4 linked regions of the Rattus norvegicus genome follow. The protein of the gene in region 1 purifies or fractionates together with the protein of each later gene. This does not show direct contact. Links are inferred from orthologs where the notes say so. Each region holds a gene or a part of one and is shown in the gene's direction. Other genes may lie near its edges.

The links.
Region 2: the proteins of Rprd1b (region 1) and Polr2g purify together in Homo sapiens (affinity purification with mass spectrometry; 3 studies listed by BioGRID and IntAct, counting the BioPlex papers as one, with this or other methods). This does not show direct contact. The link is inferred for Rattus norvegicus from reciprocal best matches to the Homo sapiens genes RPRD1B and POLR2G.
Region 3: the proteins of Rprd1b (region 1) and Gpn1 purify together in Homo sapiens (affinity purification with mass spectrometry; 3 studies listed by BioGRID and IntAct, counting the BioPlex papers as one, with this or other methods). This does not show direct contact. The link is inferred for Rattus norvegicus from reciprocal best matches to the Homo sapiens genes RPRD1B and GPN1.
Region 4: the proteins of Rprd1b (region 1) and Rprd2 purify together in Homo sapiens (affinity purification with mass spectrometry; 4 studies listed by BioGRID and IntAct, counting the BioPlex papers as one, with this or other methods). This does not show direct contact. The link is inferred for Rattus norvegicus from reciprocal best matches to the Homo sapiens genes RPRD1B and RPRD2.

Annotation. Positions count from the first base shown.
Region 1 is NC_086021.1:167,100,600-167,106,060, forward strand, and holds the start of Rprd1b (regulation of nuclear pre-mRNA domain-containing protein 1B), read left to right. Parts: upstream 1-2,309; 5' UTR 2,310-2,673; coding exon 2,674-2,824; intron 2,825-5,461. UniProt on the Homo sapiens protein: Interacts with phosphorylated C-terminal heptapeptide repeat domain (CTD) of the largest RNA polymerase II subunit POLR2A, and participates in dephosphorylation of the CTD by RPAP2. Transcriptional regulator which enhances expression of CCND1.
Region 2 is NC_086019.1:215,118,554-215,123,883, reverse strand, and holds the start of Polr2g (DNA-directed RNA polymerase II subunit RPB7), read left to right. Parts: upstream 1-2,227; 5' UTR 2,228-2,301; coding exon 2,302-2,313; intron 2,314-2,425; exon of another isoform or gene 2,426-2,428; coding exon 2,429-2,538; exon of another isoform or gene 2,539-3,143; coding exon 3,144-3,303; exon of another isoform or gene 3,304-4,309; coding exon 4,310-4,360; exon of another isoform or gene 4,361-4,468; coding exon 4,469-4,534; exon of another isoform or gene 4,535-4,617; coding exon 4,618-4,689; exon of another isoform or gene 4,690-5,073; coding exon 5,074-5,107; coding exon of another isoform or gene 5,108-5,184; exon of another isoform or gene 5,185-5,321; coding exon 5,322-5,330. UniProt on the Homo sapiens protein: Core component of RNA polymerase II (Pol II), a DNA-dependent RNA polymerase which synthesizes mRNA precursors and many functional non-coding RNAs using the four ribonucleoside triphosphates as substrates.
Region 3 is NC_086024.1:30,681,394-30,686,934, reverse strand, and holds the start of Gpn1 (GPN-loop GTPase 1), read left to right. Parts: upstream 1-1,923; 5' UTR 1,924-1,940; coding exon 1,941-2,051; intron 2,052-2,647; coding exon 2,648-2,741; intron 2,742-4,545; coding exon 4,546-4,585; intron 4,586-5,541. UniProt on the Homo sapiens protein: Small GTPase required for proper nuclear import of RNA polymerase II (RNAPII). May act at an RNAP assembly step prior to nuclear import.
Region 4 is NC_086020.1:186,053,792-186,059,174, reverse strand, and holds the start of Rprd2 (regulation of nuclear pre-mRNA domain containing 2), read left to right. Parts: upstream 1-2,231; 5' UTR 2,232-2,834; coding exon 2,835-3,039; intron 3,040-4,962; exon of another isoform or gene 4,963-5,043; intron 5,044-5,383.

The DNA of each region.
Region 1 (5,461 bases):
TTCATATCTAAACCCAGTCTATCAGCAAATCCTGTTATCTCTTCCTTTAAAGTATCTCCATATTCTGTCCTCTTCCTGCTTCCTACACTGGCACAATCTTGGTCTGCCTCATCCTTTTACCTGGGTTATTACAACAGCTGACAAACTGGTCTTCCTGTCCTTCTTGTACCATGCCTGTCTTCTACATAACAGTCTTGCCTATGTAAGCGAAGCCTGCATGCAAATGCCACAACAGCACAGCGCAATAAGAATAAAGTGCTCCGCCTTCACTTGCTACTGCCCGTTCAGAGAACACTAAACTCTTACTTGTACCTATTTGTGCCCATGTGACACGGTCCCTCCATACTCTTCTGGCTTTATGTCTAACTACCCTTCTGATTTCTATCACTCTGGTAAAACCATCTTTTCAAGTCCTCAAAATTGCAAACAAAGGTTTGAAGTTGGTTTTCTCACTACCTGGAAAGACAGCGTTGGCAAGCAACCAAATGTTACTTTACCCTCTGGGAAGGGCATATAGCATACAGAATATACTCCTATGTGACCAACTTATATTTTCTCAAGCCCATGCATTCTCTACCCACTTGGCTTCCTGGATTTTTATACAAATCACCTTTTGATTCATTTTATACTTGCATGCCCATTTTTTTCTCTTCTCTAGAAGGCAAGCTTCCAAGGACAGGGACAGCTTGTCTGTTTGCCCAGAACAGTGCTTCAGACACAGATGCTCAGAAATTATGAAGGAACCTTTGGGTAATACGTGAAGAATTTGGGATCAGGAGACCTTAACTGAATTCTAGTTTTGCCATTTCCTGGCTATGCCTGAGCAGCTCTGGATAGGTTACTCACTCCCAGTCATGTGTTCTCATTACCAAACGGTTCCCACGCCAGAGCATCGTTGTTAAGGACTGGAATTTAGAAATAGTAACATGCTGGATACATAGACTCAGTACAAGGAAGGGTACTCAGAACATGACAGTTACTCAGTACTCAGCAACTGTTTAGATGCGGTCTCAAAAGCCCTAGGCCCCCCAGACACACACACCCCCACACCTGTTTTTTTAAAGGCAGGGTCTTAAAAGCTGGTCTGGAATTTACTACACAGACCAGGCTGGCCTGGAACTCTCAGAAACCCACCTGCCTCTGCCTCCCAAGAGTTAGAATTAAAGGTGTGCACCATCATACATATATCATTACAAGGTGTTGACTTGTGCATTAATTCACTCAATCGGCTATGAACTCAGCTCTGATCCCAGATGCTGGGAAACACTGAGATACAGTCTCTTCATTCAGATCTTAGCTATGTGAGCTTGGGAACTCCACACCTCTGTAACCTTCTGTTTCCTCGACTGTTAAAGCGTGAGAAAATAATACCTACTTCAAAGCTTTGAAAAGTGTCTAGCACACAGAAATGTTCTCACTAGACTATCTATGATCATGATGTGAAGGGTGAAGGGTCAAAGCACTTATATTAGGAACAGAGAAGTGAAGAAAACCAGGCATCAACTATAGGAATGTCTATAGGAGGGGCCCACATCTAAGAAGTTCAACAATGGTCAGGAAAGTTGTAGGTGTGTGTCTTGGGGGGGGTGAGCGCACAGAGAGATGTCAGGTGTCCCGCTCAACCACTTTCCAGCTTATTCTTTTGAGACTGAGTCTTTCACTGAACCTGGAGTTAAGCAGGCATCTAGCAAGCTCCAGCGATCTTCCTGTCTCAGTCCCAGAGTACTGAAGTTACAGACCAGGCCACCAACTTGGGCTAGTTAATGATGGGAACTCAGATATCCTGATTCTTGCATAACAAGCACTATTACTCTTTAAGTCATTACACCCCTCAAAAAAGGGGGTTTTCAGTCGAGGCCAGTAGACGGCGCAGTTCCATCAGGTGAGAAAAGGGGCATCACTTCTGAAGACAGAACAGGAACCAAGCTGGGGGGGCCTGCAAAGGGTTCGTGTCTTTAATAGAACTAGAGGAGCGCGGGAAGGGGGGGAGGGATCAAGCACGGAGGGAGGTGTGGCTTAAGCGAGCCAGCAGCGACGCAGCTCTTCCCACACCCAGGTCCCGCGCTTCCTGCCTCAGTGTCCCCTAAGGATTCGCTTCTGGACGCTCCTAAACGGCTGAGCTCCCTCACACTCCCGCCACTCTTACCTCGTCTTCCAGTCTTTCCCCCACTCTCCCGCCTCCAGCACCCTAGACGGAAATGACGAAAAAGTAGTGCGTCGCGCCGCGCCAGAAAGGTTCTGCGGGAGCGGGAAAAAGGGTTCCGGTGAGGCTCACTGCGCCGGCGCGCGGGCGCGAGTGGTTAAAGCGCTTTTCGGTGTTCGAGGACCTGGATTTGTTCTCTCGGCCTGTTCGGTTCGAAGTCCTCTCAACAAGGCCCAAGGAGAGTGCTGCCTCCTAAGGGTCGTTTTCCTCCGGCTGCGAACCTCTCGGCGCCCGGCGGTGGCCCTTGCCCTTTGACCCCGTGGCGGCGGGGTGAGAGGTCGGGTGGCCATCTTGTGGCGGCGGCGCGGGCGGCTGTTACTGCGGAGACCTGTCCCCTCCCCCCACCTGGTACCCCTAGCTGTCTGTCAGTCGGCGGAGAGCCGTGCAGCCTGTCAGCGGAGGCCTGGGCTGAGTGCGGTCGCTTTCCCCGACTCATCGGGCGGCCCAGGCCGTTCCTTACCACCGCCACCATGTCCTCCTTCTCAGAGTCGGCGTTGGAAAAGAAGCTCTCAGAGCTGAGCAACTCTCAGCAGAGTGTGCAGACCCTATCCCTGTGGCTCATCCACCACCGCAAGCACGCAGGACCCATCGTCTCCGTGTGGCACCGCGAGCTCCGCAAAGGTGATCACCCCCACCCCTGGGCTCTCCCATGGGTGTGCACTCTCATCCACTTTCCCACACCCCTCTAGTTTCTTAATTAAGCCTTGCTTTGCAGGCCTGGGTCTCTGATTGAGGTTCTGAGATTGGAAACTGATATTTTATTTCTTGGAGAGGGAAACTGAGGCCCAGTAAGGCATGTGATATTCGTCTGAGGTTCCAAGGGTGCAAATGCCCAGACTTGAAGTTATTAAGCTGCTTTCCTCTTCAGGCTCCCCTTCACACTTTACGACAATTGTTTTTTGTTTTATTTTGTTTTAAATCGTGGCTGTGCTTGGAGCTGGGAGCCTAGTATTGGGCATTTGGAATAAGATCCAGCCGTCTCTGGTCAGACTGCCTACATTGAGACCTGGCCCAAACGTGTTCTAACTAAGTGATACTGGGAACGTTTCTTCATATCCCTGTGCCTGTGTATTCTAATCTGTAAAACTGACACAAACTTACCTGTCCTTACAAAGCCTTGACCCCATGTTAGTTACTATCCATAGACTTCAGAACAGGCCGGTAAATTGGGTAGCTTTCTGCACTAAATTCAGACTCTGAGAATCTGACATTCACAGAGCTCTACCTGTTTCTTGCCAGGCCCTGTGTTAGATGCAGGTTGTTTCTGGTCACTGTCTGGAAGTTAAGCCTGTCTTTGTCACTTATCCTAACAGCTTAACCTTTATGTCCTTTATGTTTCCTTATATAGAAAACGGAGAGGATGGTAGTTTATGTTACTATGGCTTTATCATGTGCCACTGTCTTTATGCAGGTTGCTTTTGTTTTTGCTTCAGTACAGAACCTTACTATTTAGCCTTTACTGGCCTGGAACTCCCTATGTAGACCAGGCTGGCCTCCAACTCAGACCTGCTTCTGCCTCCCAAATGCTGGGATTAGTAGCTTGTGCCACTATACTGGGTGGTTCTTTTGTTGTTCTTTTTTGGTTTTTTGTTTTGTTTTTTAATTCTTGAGGCCTTTTGAAGTAGGAATTTTACAGATGGGGAAAACACAGGGCTCAACAAAGCAGATTCTGGTAAGAAGCCAGGATAATCCAGTAAGCATTTTAGTGTGCTGTGGGCACAGTGCAGGTTTTCAGTAGAAGTGCTAAGTTAAGACTGTTGAATGCCCAGTGTACAGCTTGGTCTTTGCCTTCAGCTTGCTACATCCTGGTGTGGAGCAGCAGGTAGGTACAGTGCTAACTCACACTGTGCTGGGTTCCTTAGCAGAAGACTGAAGAGTCGAAGCTTAGTGGAAGTAACTTTATGAGCGTCTCTGCCCTCTGTTGTAGATGAGGAAACCGAAGTGGAGAATGGTTTAGTCAAAGTCTTCGAACTGAAGAAGACGCATGGCAGGCAGCAAACTCCAGGTTTATTCAGGAGACTGCACTCTAGGTTTCTTGCAGAGCCTCCCAGTTATGGTTTGCTCTACTGACATAGGAATCCCTTCAGCCCTCTGGGGCAGCTAGGTAGAGCGTAGCTGCAGCATGTGGAGACATGAGAAAACTATCGGTGACCTTAGTTGAATTCCCTTCAGCAGAGTCTCTTGATCATCTTGAAATTGTTAGCCCATCCCAGACTTCTTTTGTGAAGCCTTCTTTGTTAGTTCCTCACCTTACCCTATTTGAGTTCCTGAAAAATAGCCATTTAGAGAGGCTCCTTTATCAATAATCTTATCTCATGGGCCTTACATAGCAAGTAGGCTGGCGTTCTTATCCCCATTTCACAGTAGATAAAGATGCAGCAAGATGTGGCTTGTCCAGAGGTCTAAACTGGGATTGGACCCAGGGAGGACTGATACCAGACTTAATGCTTTTTCAAGTTCCTGGTGCTTTAATGGTGTTTATTGGAGGAGTTTTCCTCCACTGTATTCTCTGCCGTCCCATCCCACCACTTGCCTTACCTCAGTGTAGTTACATCTCTCTAGGTTTGTTTATCTGTCGTGAAGTAACAGTTAGTTTAGTAGTGTGGTTGTCCCTCTGATGTTTTCAGGTTTGAGTAGAGGAAGGACCTTATTGGCACTGGTTTAACTATCTGTGGCAATTGCTGTTCTGTGCCTCTGTTCTCCACAAGGCAGCTCATAGGTTATTTCTGGTGAAACAAACCAATTCAAGCCAGATTAAATTGGGAAGCTGCTCTTGGGCGATTTGGCTTTGGACCTGGGACAAGGGACTGAGATGCATATTTTACATATCAAAGCAGACCTGGCTTCCAGATTCTCCCAGCATCCCTTAGTCCCTACCTGGCATACCCTGCCCCCAACCCTGAACTTTCCAGCCCAGGGTCTGGTCTGCCCTTCCCCTAGAGGCTCTTCCCGATTAATCCAGACATTTTAGTTTCTTTCTCCTCTTCTCTCAGCTTGAGCACCCTTTCTCCACACCCCCTGCATCCATAGCGACTTCCACAGCCTTCCTTGGGGCCAGTGAATTTGTCCACTGGACAGCGGCTTTCCAATAAACCAGCCTTTAATATATTCTCATCTGGCTTAAACTGACTCATTTCACCAGCAGAGAAATAACCTGTCCTCAGTCACTATCTACATGTGGCTATTGGACATTTAAAATGATGACAAAGAATAAATATAATTGAAGATCCAGTTTTATTATCTCAATTAAGTGGTGAC
Region 2 (5,330 bases), on another chromosome or scaffold:
TCCACGGGTAGCGGCGGCAGCTGGATCCACTCCCAAGCTCACCAATGCACCAGCAGTCCAGTGCGGAGAGTCAGGAGAGTAAATATGAATCAGTGACACTGCCTAGCAGAGACAGCCAGGCCTCAACCTCCACACGAGTCAGGAGGACAAGTTCTAGGGCTGTGGTTCTCTCAGGGAAGAGACCACCAGGCTTGACGCCCACAAGCAGTGCATAGCTGGCTCTATAAGCAAGCCTAGCTCAGCATCCATCACTGTCCATGGAGTCCTATTTATACTCTCTCCAAACACCACGTGTCCTCCACAGGTCTTGCCTCAGCACGTGCATCTGTCTCAGTTGACATCACTCTGCCAATCAGCCTGAGTCCGTGGAAGCAGCAAGAAACTGCAGCACACTACCGAAAGACTTTTGGTGCGTTTCTCTCTATGGAGTCCTGACAAGTGGAGCTCAGCTGTGCAGTATTAGGCAGACCAATGCATGCATGCCATTCGCAAAGAATCCTTCACCGCATGTCTTTTCACGTGCTTGCTTTAGCAGAACAGCCTTGCTCCTGTGTCTGCTTCAGCTAAATGTTCCTTCATGAGTCTGCTTCGTCTTTCTCCTGTGTCCACTTCAGGAACACACCCCTTCATGTGTTTGCCCCAGCAAAACAGCATCTGACAATCCCTAAATTTCCACTTTGCCCAGGACTTCAACAGCAAAGGCAAGAGAATTGTTAAAAGTTCAAGGCAGGGGTTGAGGATTTAGCTCAGTGGTAGAGCGCTTGCCTAGCAAGCGCATGGCCCTGGGTTAGGTCCTCAGCTCCAGGGGAAAAAAAAGTTCAGGGCAAGCTTACTCTACAAAGCAAATCTCAGGTCATCCATGGTCACATAATAAAACCGTCCCTCAAATAGAAAAGAAAGTAAGCCCAGTGCGTGCCCACATAAGTAATCTTTTTGCTTGTTGTCTTTTTGTTTTGTTTAACAAGACACTTTCATTTTTTTTTTCCGGAGCTGGGGACCGAACCCAGGGCCTTGCACTTGCTAGGCAAGCGCTCTACCGCTGAGCTAAATCCCCAACCCCGACACCTTCATTTTTAATGTATCCCTGGCTGTTCTGGAACTCATGCTGTAGACCAGGTTGGCCTTGAACTTGAAGACCCACCTGCCTTTTGTTCCTGAATATTGGGATTTAAGGCGTGTGCCACACTTCCAAGTGACTTCTTCTTAATTAGGTGTACTCAATGATGTCTGTTATCTGTATGTGAGTACAAGCCCACAAGTGCTGGTACCTCCTGAGGCAATGAGAAAGTTTCAGATCCCCTTCGAGCTGGAGTTGTGAGACCTCGGGTGCAGTGTTAGTAATTGAACTCAGGTCCTCTTCGAGAGCTTTATTTTTATTTTATGTGTAAAAACCTTTATTTTTATTTTATATGTATGAATGTTCTGGCTGTATCTATGCCTGTTCACCACAAGGGAGAAGTGTCCATGGAGGCCCCAGATGGCACTGGATCCCCTAGGATTGAAATATAGCTAGTTGAGTTACCATGTTTGTTCTAGGAATCAAACCTGGATCCTTCGGAGGAGCAACCATTGATTTTAACTGTTGAGCAATCTCCCCAACTACCTCATCTTTATTTTTATTTTACAAGCATCGGTGTTCTGCCTGCATTATGTCTGTGTACCACTAGCATGCAGTGCTGAATGAAGCCAGAAGAGGGTGTCAGTTCTCTCTGAACTGTAGTTACAGATAAGATTGTGAGCTATCCTGTGGGGGCTGGCAAGTGCTCTTAAGGACTGAGCTAATTCTTCAGCCCCTAAAATAAAATTTAAAAAACAATTTTTTTTTCTCTTTTTCGGAGCTGGGGACCGAACCCAGGGCCTTGCGGTTGCTAGGCAAGCGCTCTACCTCTGAGCCAAATCCCCAACCCCAAAAACAAATTTTTTTATAGGGTTTGTATACACAGTCTTGGTTATCCTGGAACTCACTTTGTAGATGTGGCTTAGCCTTGAATTTAGAGATCTGTCTGCCACGGCTGGGTTTAAAGGCATGTGGCGACAAGCCAGACCTCTTAACCTTTTTTTTTTTTTTTTTTTTTTTTTTTTAAGGTTTTTCGAGACCGGGTTTTTCTGTGTAATCCTGGCTGTGCTGATGAGCGCTGATGGGAAGGCCTGAGGGGCGGGGCTTCACGTTTCCCCGCCCATGGCGTTAAGACTCAAATCTGCGGAAGCGACTGCGGAGACTTGGTGGGACTTCTGCTAGTGCTTCCGGCGAGGTCCCTTCCTGGGGAGTTCTGGCCTCTGCGGTCCAAGCTTCTGCAGAAGATGTTTTATCATGTGAGCTGGACGCGGGGTAGCGGTGAGGGCAGGGACAGGAGGAGCCTGGAGGGCCGACGGGTCGCCTCCTGTTCTCAGTGTGGCTGGCGGAGTCTTCATCTTCCTTTCTCTGCAGATTTCCCTGGAGCACGAGATCCTACTGCACCCACGCTACTTTGGTCCCAACTTGCTCAACACGGTGAAGCAGAAGCTGTTCACCGAGGTGGAGGGGACCTGCACTGGGAAGTAAGTGTCTGATTCACAGTGTCGTCTGCTGAATGCAGGCACAATAACGCTACTCTGTAACCTCTACTTCACTCCTTCAGTCAGGGCTTGTTACTTACTCTGAGGAACTCTTTCACCACTCCAGGCATCCGAAGCAGCCAGTTTTTGCCTATTTTGGGCCTTCTAAAAGGTTGCTAAACCAAATTTTCTTCGCTTATGCGAGATCAGACCGTTATTATGCAAATGTTTTGGGTTTCGAGATGGCCTCACTATGTGGACCAAGCTGGCCTCTAATTCAGAGAACTGCCTGCCACTGAGTGCTGGGATTAAAGGTTTTCGTCACAATTTTCTGTCTGATTTGTGGTTTTCGAAAGACCTGTCTCACCACTGACCTGGCAAGTCCTGGTACTGAGAGAATAGGTGTATGTCAGCATATCTGTGCCTTCTTGGGCATTTACTGTACAATTGTGAGAGCACCATTTAATATTTCAGGTGCTAATCTGAGTTCTGTCTCTTCTTGGTCATCGAGCTGTTCGAGCAGAGGTTCCATCACACGCAGACTATTGCTGGTGGCTTTTTAGAGGCTCTTCACATACAGTAGCTGTCTTTTTTCATCTTTCCTGCAGATATGGCTTTGTGATTGCTGTCACTACCATCGACAATATTGGTGCTGGTGTGATCCAGCCGGGCCGAGGTTTTGTTCTTTATCCAGTGAAATACAAAGCTATTGTTTTCCGGCCCTTTAAAGGGGAAGTGGTGGATGCTGTGGTCACTCAGGTCAACAAGGTAAGAGTATTATTTATAGAAAGGTTATGGGGTTGGGGATTTGGCTCAGTGGTAGAGCGCTTGCCTAGGAAGTGCAAGGTCCTGGGTTCGGTCCTCAGCTCCGAAAAAAAAGAAGAAAAAAAAAAAAAAAAAAAAGAAAGGTTACGGGGTATTTCCTAAGGTGAGAGTTCAATTCCCAGTCCACTTATTAGTTGCCTTAAGCCTTTTGTGGTTGTCAAGATTTATTTTATTTTATCTTAGTTTTGGGTTTTCTTTTCTTTTTTTTTTTTTTTTTTTTAAGGTTTGTTTGTTTATTTTTATTTATATGAGTACACTGTTGTCTTCAGACACATCAGAAGAGGGCATCAGATCCCATTACAGATGATTATGAGCCACTATGTGATTGCTGAGAATTGAACTCATGATCATTGGAAGAGCAATCAGTGCTCTTAACCGCTGAGCCATCTCTCTAGCCCCTGATTTATTTATTATACACACTCCTCTGTAGCTCTCTTCAGACACACCAGAAGAGGGCATCAGATCTCATTACAGATGGTTGTGAGCCACCATGTGGTTGCTGGGAATTGAACTCAGGACCCATGGAAGAGCAGTCAGTGCTCTTAACCACTGAGCTATCTCTCTAGCCTCAGAAATTAAGTTTCTTAAAGGCTAAGGGGTCTATAGCTCAGTGGTTTAGAGCACCTACTGGTTCTATAAGACCTGGGTTTGACTCCCAGCACCCAGCCAATGGCTCACAATAATCTGTAACTCCTAATTCTGCAGGGTCCCAATACCCTCTCCTGGCTTCCATGGGCACTGCAGGTACATGGTGCACAGGCACATGTGAGGTCAGAATATTCTTACACATAAAAATAATGAAGAACAAAAATGTAAAGAAATGAAAGATTACACAGAGAGAAATTAAAACAAATGCTACAATTTAAACTGTTAAGAAACATGAATAATGTGCCTAGAAATCAGGTAAAGATGCTTCAGAGCGTTTGAAGCACGGTCATTTTCCTTCTAGGTTGGACTTTTCACAGAAATTGGGCCCATGTCCTGCTTCATCTCTCGACACGTGAGTCTGGGCGTGTGGGGTGAGGCCGAGGAGGAGAAACCAGCCCCTGACTCTCATCCTTTGATGCAGCTATTTGAAATGCTAACCTTTGTGTCAATTTCCTTCTAGTCCATCCCTTCAGAGATGGAGTTTGATCCAAATTCGAACCCCCCTTGTTACAAGACCATGGATGAGGTGAGCGAATGAGGAGGAGTTGGTGAGAGGGATGAGGACCAGGCCTGAGTCTGCTTGATGACCCTGCTCTCTCCTTTCCACAGGACATTGTAATTCAGCAGGACGATGAGATACGCTTGAAGATTGTAGGGACACGTGTAGACAAGAATGACATTGTGAGTCTCTTGCTTGACTGGCCTGCCTTAGCCTCCTGGGTAGTAGGATTATAAATAATCCAAAGTCATCATTCACAGCTGACAGCTGTGGGTTTCTCGTTTCTTTTGTAGAACATATTTATGTGGATGTGTGGGCATACACACTCGCCACAGTGTGACATTTAGACCGCCTTCAGGTCATCGCATGCTGCTGTGGATTTTGGGGGTGGAGGTCAGGTCATCAGGGTTGGAGCAAGCTCTTTCCCCATCTGCGCTGTTGACCTCTTGCCATCCACAGTTGTTGGGGGCTCTGTGCTCTGTGTCCATGAGCAGGGAATAGATGACAGAAGGCTCGGAATGGGGTGGGGCCCCACCTCACCATCCTTTCTCCCTTTCCTCTCGCAGTTTGCTATTGGCTCTCTGATGGATGACTACTTGGGTGAGTGCCTGACATGGGTGCTGGGACCATTCCCTGGAGAAAGGATGTGCTGGAGAGGGGATGGCTGTAGGATTTAAATGCCAGTCAGAGATATAAGTTCTCATTCTGTTCCCTTGGAAATCCAAGATACCTTGTCTTTGGTGGTGGGAAATCTTTGGTTTTTGGCTGCCTGGGAACTCAGTGTCTAACTGATATTTTTTTCCTGATTTCACAGGACTTGTGA
Region 3 (5,541 bases), on another chromosome or scaffold:
GAGACAGTAGGAATTTCAAACCTTGCTCTTTCTTCTCTTCTTCCTCCTTCCCTTCTTCTTTTCTTCCCTCTCCCTTTCCTTCTTCTCCTTCTGAGAGGATATTAAAGGTCATCAGAGAATCTCCCCACACAAAACTTCAACTGGCCATATTGCTGATGCCACAGCCAGGAGATGGGTCAATAATTACAGGTGTTCACATCCAAGCTTTCCAACTTGAGTTCGATCCCTGGGGCCCACATGGTGGGGAGTCCTGAGTTCCACAAGTTGTCCTCTAACGTATACACAAACTATGGTATGCAGGCCTACATACATGCACGCTCACACACGTAACTGTAACTAAAAAAGACACCAAATTTAAATGTCATCACGGTTAAACTAACTGAACTGCTAGAAGGTAACACAAGCCAGACAGTGCTGCCCAGAGAGGGCCTGAGTCAGGTAAGATCAATCACTATCCATTTGGTGGTATTTTAAGAAGATGTTGTTCGAGTTGGGGATTTAGCTCAGTGGTAGAGTGCCTGCCTAGCAAGCGCAAGGCCCTGGGTTCGGTCCTCAGCTCCGAAAAAAAAAGAAAAAAAGAAAAAGAAGACGTTGTTCACTGATCCTGGAGCTGATTACTTTGGCTAAGCTAGCTGGCCACTGAGCTGCTGGGTTTCTCCGGTCTCTAGTTCTTCAGCACTGGAATTATAGCCACAATCTACCATGCCTGGGCTTTCATGTGAGTGCTGGGGTCTGAACTCTGGCCCTTACGTTTGCGCAGCAAGCACTTTACCAACTAGTCCTCTCGACAGCCTGCACACTTCATTATAAAATGAGATATGTATAGATATAGACAACCTTTTTGTTCTTCAACAGTTTTATCCATTCTCCAAGAATGTCATCAAAACCCAGGGCCACCCTTGACCTACAACCCTAACCCTTTATCTCACTCTTAAAGGGGACTTTTTAGAAGCCTTCTGGGGGCTGGGGATTTAGCTCAGTGGTAGAGCGCTAACTCCGAAAAAAAGAACCAAAAAAAAAAAAAAAAAAAAAAAAAAAAAAAAAAGAAGCCTTCTGGTTCCTTGGGCCTTTGGTTCACCATCTAGTCTTTTCTTTTTCCCTTGGACGAATGGCCATACGGGTGAGCAAATAAGACTTTGGTTACAGTCTCTGTCATACGGTCCTTTCCTCATGAGATTCTTCCACCCTTCCTCTACCCATAACCTCCGGTATTACTCAGCTACACTTGAGCCACAAACACCCTTCGGTTCTTTAATTCCCCTTTGCATTTGGTGATGAGGTTTCTTCCTCTGTTATTTAAAATACAGTATTCATGCTATCTTTCTTTTTTTTTTTTTTTTTTCTTTTTTTTTTTTTTCAGAGCTGGGGACCCAACCCAGGGCCTTGCGCTTCCTAGGCAAGCGCTCTACCACTGAGCTAAATCCCCAACCCCTCATGCTATCTTTCAAGTGTTACGTTAATTTTTACTTAATATTTTCTTGAACGAAATGACGCTTAAAGTTTTTTTTTTCCTTCTTAGCCAATAAAATAAAGGGTGGAACGCCACCTTAGTCCGTTAACCTTAGGATCTTAACAGATCCTGGCTTGGGATCCCACGTCATTACGCCCCTGGGAACTTTGCCGTTCCCGGGTCCTACCTTACCCTTATCAACCCTTTCTGGTTCCCTATACTCCTGGTCACTAGTCCAAAGCCATTATTGGCACCTACAGTACAGCATCTATAGTCCCTGTAAGTCGGATGCTTAGAAGCCAGTCTGGTGCCCAAAGCGCGGTTTGGCTATTCCGGCCAATTGCAGCTCTAAACTCAGAGAGGCCGGATCGTCCGACCAATCGTAGCCCTATACGCAAGAGGGCGGATTTTTCTACCAATCACAGCCCTTAATGCAGCGAGTCCGCAGCCCGCAGGCCCATCTGTGAGTGGTGGGCGTGGCTGAGGAAAGATGGCGGCGCCCGCGGCTCCTGCCGAGCCCCAGGCTTCCGGGGCTCCGGAGCTCCCCGTGTGTCTGTTGGTGTTGGGAATGGCGGGATCCGGGAAAACTACCTTTGTACAGGTGACGTGCACTGTGTGGAGGCTGTAATGGCGCCTCAGGCCCGAGAGGAAGTTGTCTGGGGAATTGGAGGGTCTGGGCGCGTGGTTTTCTGGGGGCTGGCCTCTGACTCCAGGTCCTTCCCGAAGCCTCGAACCCTAGCCTGGGTCACTTGAGGCAGTCTCCTGCGTAGCCTTAGTGTATGCTTGGTACAGCTGAAATAGTCTTGCTGAGAATTGGCAGCTCTCCGAAGACCCAGGCAGGGGGAGGTAATGCCAGCATCACTGGTTTTGCGTGAAGAGTCGTGAAAGAATCACTTCGTTTGACCTATCATGTTCTAAGCTCTTGAGTATACAGCGGCAATGATATCGACATGGTTCTTGCTTTCACGGAGTGAATGTCTTAGTAGAGGAGACAGAGAAGGAAAAGAGGGTCAAAGTTAGCGAAGACGTGATGGAGGGTAGAGATCAGGTACTGGAACTAGATGGCTTTTAAACTGAGAGTTTAGTGTTGAGGGAAGAAGGAGATTGTTATAAGAATAGTCAGAAAGGAATGGGAATTCTCTGGGCCCTTTCCTGTCCTTTGGTCATCAAACTTCGACCCTGCCGCCGTTTTTGCAGAGGCTCACAGGACACCTGCACAACAAAGGCTGTCCACCATATGTAATCAATCTGGACCCGGCTGTGCATGAAGTCCCTTTTCCCGCCAATATTGGTGAGTGCCTTCTTTAACTAACTATCTGCTTTTCTGTGGATTTGCCTGAGTTCCAGAACATGCTTCTTGCTTATTCAGATTTATCTCTCTCTTATGTATCATTCTCATTTACCCCCTCTCTTTGTCCTCAGTGCCACCTGACACATGAATCGTTTAGTTTCTTTTGTCAGAGTTTATGAGTTCTGCTATAATTCACTCTGATCTGTAGAAAGGTTCCTTCCATTTCCAAAGTTATGGGTGTGTGTGTGTGTGTGTGTGTGTGTGTAAAAATATGCGTTGTTGGGGTTGGGGATTTAGCTCAGTGGTAGAGCGCTTGCCTAGCAAGAGCAAGGCCCTAGCAAGGCCCTGGGTTCGGTCCCCAGCTCCGAAAAAAAGAAAAAAAAAAATATGCGTTGTTTTGAGGAGAGTGTTCTGCTTGAGACTATCAGAAAGATTTAGTATTGGTGTGATCCAAGGAAGCCTGAGGCAGAATATTGAGAGTTGAGTCAGTCCAACTTACATAGCTAAACCTTGTTTGGAAAAGAAAAAGTGGGGGTGAGGGGTAGATTTATTATGAAAGTGCCTGTAATCCACTGACAGGGCTCTTGGGGGTCCAGAGCCTGATTCCCAGGTCTCTTGCTAATCCTATTAAGCTTCTTATACCCCATATACAAATTAGGAGGTGGAAATCTTGTTTAAGAATCATAGATTAGTCGGTCCCCAGCTCCGAAAAAAAGAACCAAAAAAAAAAAAAAAAAAAAAAAAAGAATCATAGATTAGGCCAGGCAGTAGTGGCTCACGCCTTTAATCCCAGCACTCAGGAGGAAGCCACATGCAGATCTCTGAGTTACAAGCCGGCTTTTTCTATAGAGAGAGTTCTAAGACAGCCTGGGCTATACAGAGAAACCCTGTGTTGATAAACAAACAAGAACAACAACAACAACAAAAATCATTGATCATTTTGGAAAGATTGGGCAACAAGTTTTCTATTTAAACTAAAGGATAAAAATGTAATATTGTTCATCTAGTGTCTAGGGGGTAGGTTTGTTTTTATTTACTTTCATTTTATATGTATGGGTGTATCTGGTTCCTGCAGAGGCCAGAAGAGGGATGCAGAACCCCTGGAACTGGATCTACAGATAGTTATGAGCTGCCATGTGGGTGCCGGGAACTAAATCTGGGTCCTCTGTAAGAACTTCAAGTGCTCTTAATCTTTGAGCATCTCTCTAGCCCTGGCAGATAGGAGGTGGTAGATCTGAATAGACAGTTTTATTGTTCCTATGTCTACGAATTGCCTTCATTACCATGCAGCGGCTAGTAAGTTTTCTTTTCTTGTTTTTATTTGTTCATTGGTTTTCCTGTGCATGTGCCCACTACCATTGAAATTGTCTAAAACTTGTAATCTTATTTTAGTCTATCATAACTAAGAGCTTCTGACCTTTTGTTTGTTTATTTGTTTGTTTGAGACAGGGTCTCTCTGTGTAGTCTTGGCTGTCCTGGAATTACTCTAGATTAGGCCAGTATTGAACTCAGAGGTCCATCTGCCTCTGTCTCCCGAGCCCAAGGATTAAAGGTGTGTGCCACCAGGCCCAGGAGTCTAACATCCTTCATAGGATACTTGGCAGTTATCCCTAGTCAGGAAGAAAGTGTAGAGGAGGGTATAAGCAAATGCTGGTAAGATATGGTGACACTTCTGTATAGCCTCAGACTCGGAAGGCTGAGGTAGGAGAACAGCTTGGGTTACTTGGGAGGTTCAAAGTCAGTCCCAACAAATGAGGTCATGCTTCAAAAAATAAAGGCAACCATTCTCTCTCTTTCCCCTCAGATATTCGAGACACAGTGAAGTACAAAGAAGTCATGAAGCAGTATCCTTTTTCTCGTCAGCAGTCATGGTGAACTGCTGCCTTTCATTGCTTTGGGGGAGAGGTTTTACCTGTCAGATTGGGACAATACAAGCAAACTCACTTCATTTTCAGTAATCATATTAAGAGGACATAAGATGAACAAGATGAGTGTAGGAGAGATCAGAGATTTCAATAATACTTCCATTTTCTTAACATAACTCGGATAGCCGAGAAGATGCATGGCCAGCTGTTGACTGCCTGGGCCTGGGGAAGTGATATTGCCTTGGGTCATACAGTCATCGGTTAAAAAGTTACTCACAGGAATTTAGACCAGAAAACTTTTTTTTTAAGATTTATTTATTACAAGTGCAATAAGTACACTGTAGCTGTCTTCAGACACACCAGAAGAGGGCATCAGATCCTGTTACAGATGGTTGTGAGCCACCATGTGGTTGCTGGGATTTGAACTCAGGACCTCTGAAAGAGCAATCACTGCTCTTAACCACTGAGCCATCTCTCCAGCCCATTGAGTTATATTCTTATGGGTTAATTTCAGCATGACAGCCAACTCTCTTTAAGTAACCTTAGGAGGGTTGCTTGCCTAGTGAGAATCAGGATAAAGAGTGTTACATGCAGCCCTGGCTGGCCTGAACTCAAGAGATCTTCCCACCTCTGCTTCCTGAGTGCTGGGGTTAAAGGTATTGAGCTTCCACACCTGGCTACACAGATGATTTTAACTGGTGATGCCAGCAGTCTGTCACTGTTTGACGTGTGTAGTCGTTAACTTTTAGTCACACTATTGTCCTTACCTTGTGTGGCCAGTCCTAAAACGAGAGATCAGCAATGAGAGCCTTGCTAATAAACACTGGGGTTGGGTGGTCATCAAAGCCTGGGTTGCCAGCACCCGTTCGTTAATTGGACGTCAATACCATAATGCGTTGGATGGATGACAACCAAGTACTAACTGTATAATCTCA
Region 4 (5,383 bases), on another chromosome or scaffold:
TAAAGGCTCATGTGACCAAGTGAAACTTGTTTATTTTGATCTCCCAAGAAACCAGGAAAGAGGTAATAGTCATCTCGGAGCAGGCCAGTTTCAGCTGGCATGATAAGGAAGTCCTGCTTTTAACCTTTGGAACGAAAATAACTTGAAAACAATCTGCTTTTAGTTGTTTCTTCTTTCCTCAGCCCTTTTCTATCTGTAATGCCAAACTTCCGTAAAAGGAGAAGTTGCCTGATTCTAGGATCATTAAGGTCTTTATAACTCTTGTAAATTTTTTTTCTTTTTTTTCTTTTTTTCTTTTCTTTTTTTCGGAGCTGGGGACCGAACCCAGGGCCTTGCGCTTGCTAGGCAAGCGCTCTACCACTGAGCTAAATGCCCAACCCCAAATTTTTTCTTTTTAAGAAAGCCAAAGTTGATCTTCCAGTCCACTGTTTGACAAACCATTGTAGGCTCTCCTACAATATAGCCTCTAACTAAAGTACCTGTCTCGAACCCCTGGCAACAGGACTATTCACCTTTATTCCAAGGTTAGGAAAACACCTAAATCTGCATGGGTGCCCAGGCAGACTTCGAGGGGTTCCTGCTGTGAGACCCAAAGTCCTTGTGAGATTGTCAAAGAAAAAGAAGCACGCCAGCAGGGCCTATGGTGGCTCCATGTGTGCCCAGTGTGACCGTGACAGGATCAAGCTGGCTTTCCTTATTGAGGAGCAGAAAGTCATTGTGTAAGTGTTGAAGGCAAAAGCACAGAGTCAGAAAGCAAAATAAATATACAACTTTTTTAAGAAATAAAAATCAAAGCTTGGATGAAAGAAAGAGAGCCCAAAGTCAGGCGGGCATGGTGGCAGGCTTTTAATCTCAGCACTTAGGACCGAGGCAGGTAGACAGGATCTCGAGCTGGACACCAGACTCTACAGAGCAAGTTTCAAGACATCCAGGGCTACACAGAGAAACCTTACCTCAAAAGAAACAAAAAAGAAACAGTGGCTTTCAATTCCCTACACGTGCCCTCTTTGCTTCTGACCTCTTCTGCCTCTTGTCTTAGTGGCTTTCTCAGTATCTTCTAGTCACAGTGGCTTCCTTGTTCTTCCTCTAAAACGTTAACAGTCCTGGGTTAGGGAATCAGCACTTGTTCTTTTGCCAGCTCTTCTCCCCTACCCATTTGTGCTTGGTTGCTTTTTCCTCAAGTATCTCTTGTTAAAAACTGGTCACATCATTGTTATTCATATCCCCCGTCCTTCTCCCTTAGCTTATTTCGTACCTCTTTAGGACTCCTTACTCCTTGACACATACTTGTGGTTTGGTCCTGATGCCAAATCAAGTTGGAGGAATTTTTGTCTGCTTTGCCATCATTTCCCTAATCCTAAAACAGTTCTTGGCACAGAGAGGTTAATTCTAAATGATGAAACAGGGTTCTTGCCTCAAAAATCTCTCTTCTGTTGAGTTGGCCTAATTAAAATGAAATTGCTGGGTTCAGTAGGAATACACGAACATCCAAATTTCCCCAAAAGATTCACACAGGCAGATCAGATGTAATGGTTAAACTGAGGCTATCCTAATAAATCCAATACTCAAGACTCTTGTAAACTATAACGCATTACGAAATTGTGATGTTACAACTGTGCAAAGAAGCCACATCTTGTCAATTACTCTTTCCTCGCTTCTATAAGTTTTTAACTCTTAGAGAAAATTTCGTTTTTCTTATTCCCGCTTTCTAGAATGCAGACGGTCGGCTGGCTGTGAATGGTGTCATCGAAGTCGGATGTATAGCAGGAGTCTAGGAGTGCATAGAGAACGGCTACTGGATCTGACGCATGCGCACCTTCTACCATGCCGCAAGATGGGTGCCAGCCATTTTGTCGCGCGTAGGTCCCCGATTGCGGGTGGTAGGGAATGCAGCTGTCAGAAACAGTGGCCCCAGAAGGATGGGCATTTCTCTGCCTAGTGTGAGCTAAAGGCCCCAAGTGAGTAACCCCACCATGAAGCCAAAAGCAGTGCCGAGCACCGAACGCGGGCTATTAACGTCGTAGGTTCGCCAGCTCCTTCATCCTGCCTTCCCAGGTTTTCCTCCCAACCCGCTACGCGAACAACTAACGCGCAGGCGCACAAATAAACGTAGCGCCTCCTCCGCGTTTGGGGCCGGAGGACTCTTGCGCGCGCTTCTCCGACCCCTCCCTTGATTGGTCAGATTGCAGCGCCAACCCGCCTCTCCCAGCGCTCGGAAGCAGAGGGGCGGGGCTTCCGTGCGCGTGCGCATTGCTTTTTTGCTGGTCCATTGCTGCTATTGCGTTGCCAAAAAAAAAAAAAAAAAAAAAAAAATTCTGACTAGGTAGCTTTGGGCCTTTTCTGTGGTAGAGAATCTAAAGGAAAAGCTTTCTGCAACCGAAGGGACAGCCGGGTAGTATTACGGTATTACGTTTTCGGTACTAAGGCCTCCCTGGCTCACCGGAGTTTGGGCAACGGGATGAGGGAAGGGCCTTGAGAGTTGAGAGGACCGTAGAGGATAAAACCATTAGTTTTCGGCGCTGGGCATTTTGAAAGGCGTCGCAGGTCCTGTTTTCTACGTAGTTCTCTCCCGACTACTGGTTTAAACACCACCCCCGAACCATACTGACAAACCTTCGCAACTCGCAGCCCCTCCTTGCAGCGTGTGGGAGCCGCCAGCGTGCCCAGCAGCTACCCTTCCTACCTCCAGAAGAGCCTAGCGCGTGCACCATCCCCACCCCCTGGCCTCCCTCCCCTCCTGCTGCTTTCACGCACTCGCAGTGATTGTTTTGCCCGCTCCCGCCGCCGCCGCCGCCGCCGCCAGAGGACCAGCGGCGCTTGTGCAAACCGGGAAGATGGCGGCCGGCGGCGGCGGAGGCAGCAGTAAGGCCTCCTCCTCGTCGGCCTCGTCCGCAGGGGCCCTGGAGTCCTCGTTGGATCGAAAATTCCAGTCGGTGACCAACACCATGGAATCCATTCAAGGCTTGTCGTCCTGGTGTATAGAAAATAAGAAACACCACAGTACAATCGTCTACCATTGGATGAAGTGGCTCCGGAGATGTGAGTGTGGGGGCGATTGGGAAGGGGGAGGCTGGGGAAATGGAGGAAATGCGGCCCAAAACACTCTGGGGTTTGCCCACGGAGCCGCTGCATTCAGTTGGGGTTCACATTAAAGATCCGACACGAGTGTTCCCAAGCCCAGACTCCAACCTAGGCACGGTTGCTCTGATCTGCAGGGGGCTCATTGCTTGGAATTTTTCAGCTTCACATTTGGCGTGACCTTGGGCCGTTGGGCCTAGACCCATAGAGATTTACGTGTTTCCTTTCCGAGCCCTGTGAGGTGTGTTGTTGATTATCCTGAACCTTCACGGAAATTGTCGCGTCCGTTTATTTCTTACAGGCCTTGACGTGTTAATGATCTCTGGGTTTCCTGTTGGTTAGTCAAGCTATGGTTTAAGCTGTCCACTTCCCTGGAATATGTTGGACCATTCAGTGTTTTCCGCCGACGTGAAACTTGTGATATTATAGAAAGGGGCCTTCTTTTGATTACTGTGTGTGAAACTTGGCATGTGTTTTAAGGAGGATTTCCCTGGATGAATGTGAAGCAGTATGAGCTCTACAGAGCTGTGAGGCGACCACCTGTTTTCCTTTTACCTGTGTTTGTAACAGTAAAATACAGACTAGTGATACGGACGATACAACTCCGAGACTGTAATCATCATTAGTACTGGAGCATAAAATATATCCGGCCACTTTTTAATCGCCTGAAGTATATTTTACAGAATTGAGTTTGTTTGCATAGGCAATCAAAATGGGAAATGTGGATTTTAAAATATTATTTGTTTTAGCGTATAACCCACCTCCCAAGTTGTACTTTTTTGCCTTCAACCTGTGGGGTTCGCCCCGCACTACTTTACTATAGAAAAGAGGTCTTCTAAAAATATGATTGTTAAACTGGGCGTGGTGGCTCATGTGATTCCAGAAGCTGAGGCAGGAGGATTACTGCAAGTTTGAGGCCAGCTTGTTCTACACAGTAAATTTCAAGCAGTCATAAAGCGAACTCATACGTATTTATTTGAGTTTTAGTTTGCATCTTACCTATATGGCCTCTTGCCAGTGGCACTCATTTACCAGTTTCTTATCCCACATTGTTTTTGCTTCTATAATATTTTTGAGTTTACTTGTTAGTGAACAAGTGGGTAAAACTTCAAAATTATAGGCTCCAAATTTGAAATCTTTTGTATTTAAAGTTATTGATGGGACAGTTGTTCTGTGGTTCTTTGAAATACAGTGCTGAGAAGGATATTTGAGAGAAAAGACGGGATTAGCTAGTCCTTCTTTACTGTTGTCAGATCTTTTTGTTTACTTCTTGCCAAGAGATTATACTAGAATCTGCAATATCTGTCATCTCCGAAGACTCACATATATGTATCTGCCACATGCCAAGCATTTCTGTATACCTTATAATATATCTCATAGTCCACTGAATTACACAGGAGGAAACTAGGGCTCAGAAATGTCAGGTGGCTAAAGGTTACTCAGTAAAATGATGTAGGTTGGATTGGACTCTTATCATTAACTTTGTGGAACAGTGTTTGGTGTAATGGGTGCATCAGTGTAGTAAGCGATGCGAGTGTGTGGAAGAGGACATTTCCCACCCTGTTTTAAATCATTTTACCGAGTTATGAAGCATTTTCCATTGCCTACTGTTGGTCTCTAGTGCTTTAACCCTATGTTACATATTTTCAAGAATAAGTTGGTCCCTAGCTCTGTGTGTAGGATCACAAGTGAAAATTATACTTTTTTCTAGTCAAGAATAATGAGAAATGCAAGGACCAGAATTTTTCCTGTCTCTGTGGTTTTGTGCCTGAGTTTATTTCCTTTGTTGGTTCTAAGAGTAGGAGGGCAGTATTTTATTTGAAAAGTGGATTCTACATAATTTAAATGAAATGACAAGCATTTGGCTTTTTAAAATCTGTCAGTTTCGGGGTTGGGGATTTAGCTCAGTGGTAGAGCGCTTGCCTAGGAAGCACGAGGCCCTGGGTTCGGTCCCCAGCTCCGAAAAAAAAGAACCAAAAAAAAAAAAAATCTGTCAGTTTCAAAGAGGGGTGGAACTTAAACTTTATAAAATGGCTAAGAATAATTTGTGGACATTTATATTTACAGGTGATAAATAAAGCCAGGCTGGTAAAGGCTAGGACACAAATGGTTGATGTGTTAGGCCAGTGTTTTCACCTAATTTTTAGACCTTCACAGAGTTGCTAAGTTTGCTTAGGCAAAATTGTGAGGTGGCTCTCATGCATTCCCAGTGTTTCTGTCCACTTCCCTGATGAGACTCTTGCTTCTCCCTTTTCTTATGACAACAGGTATGTAGTCATGTAGCCCTCAGTTAGATTTAAGGAAC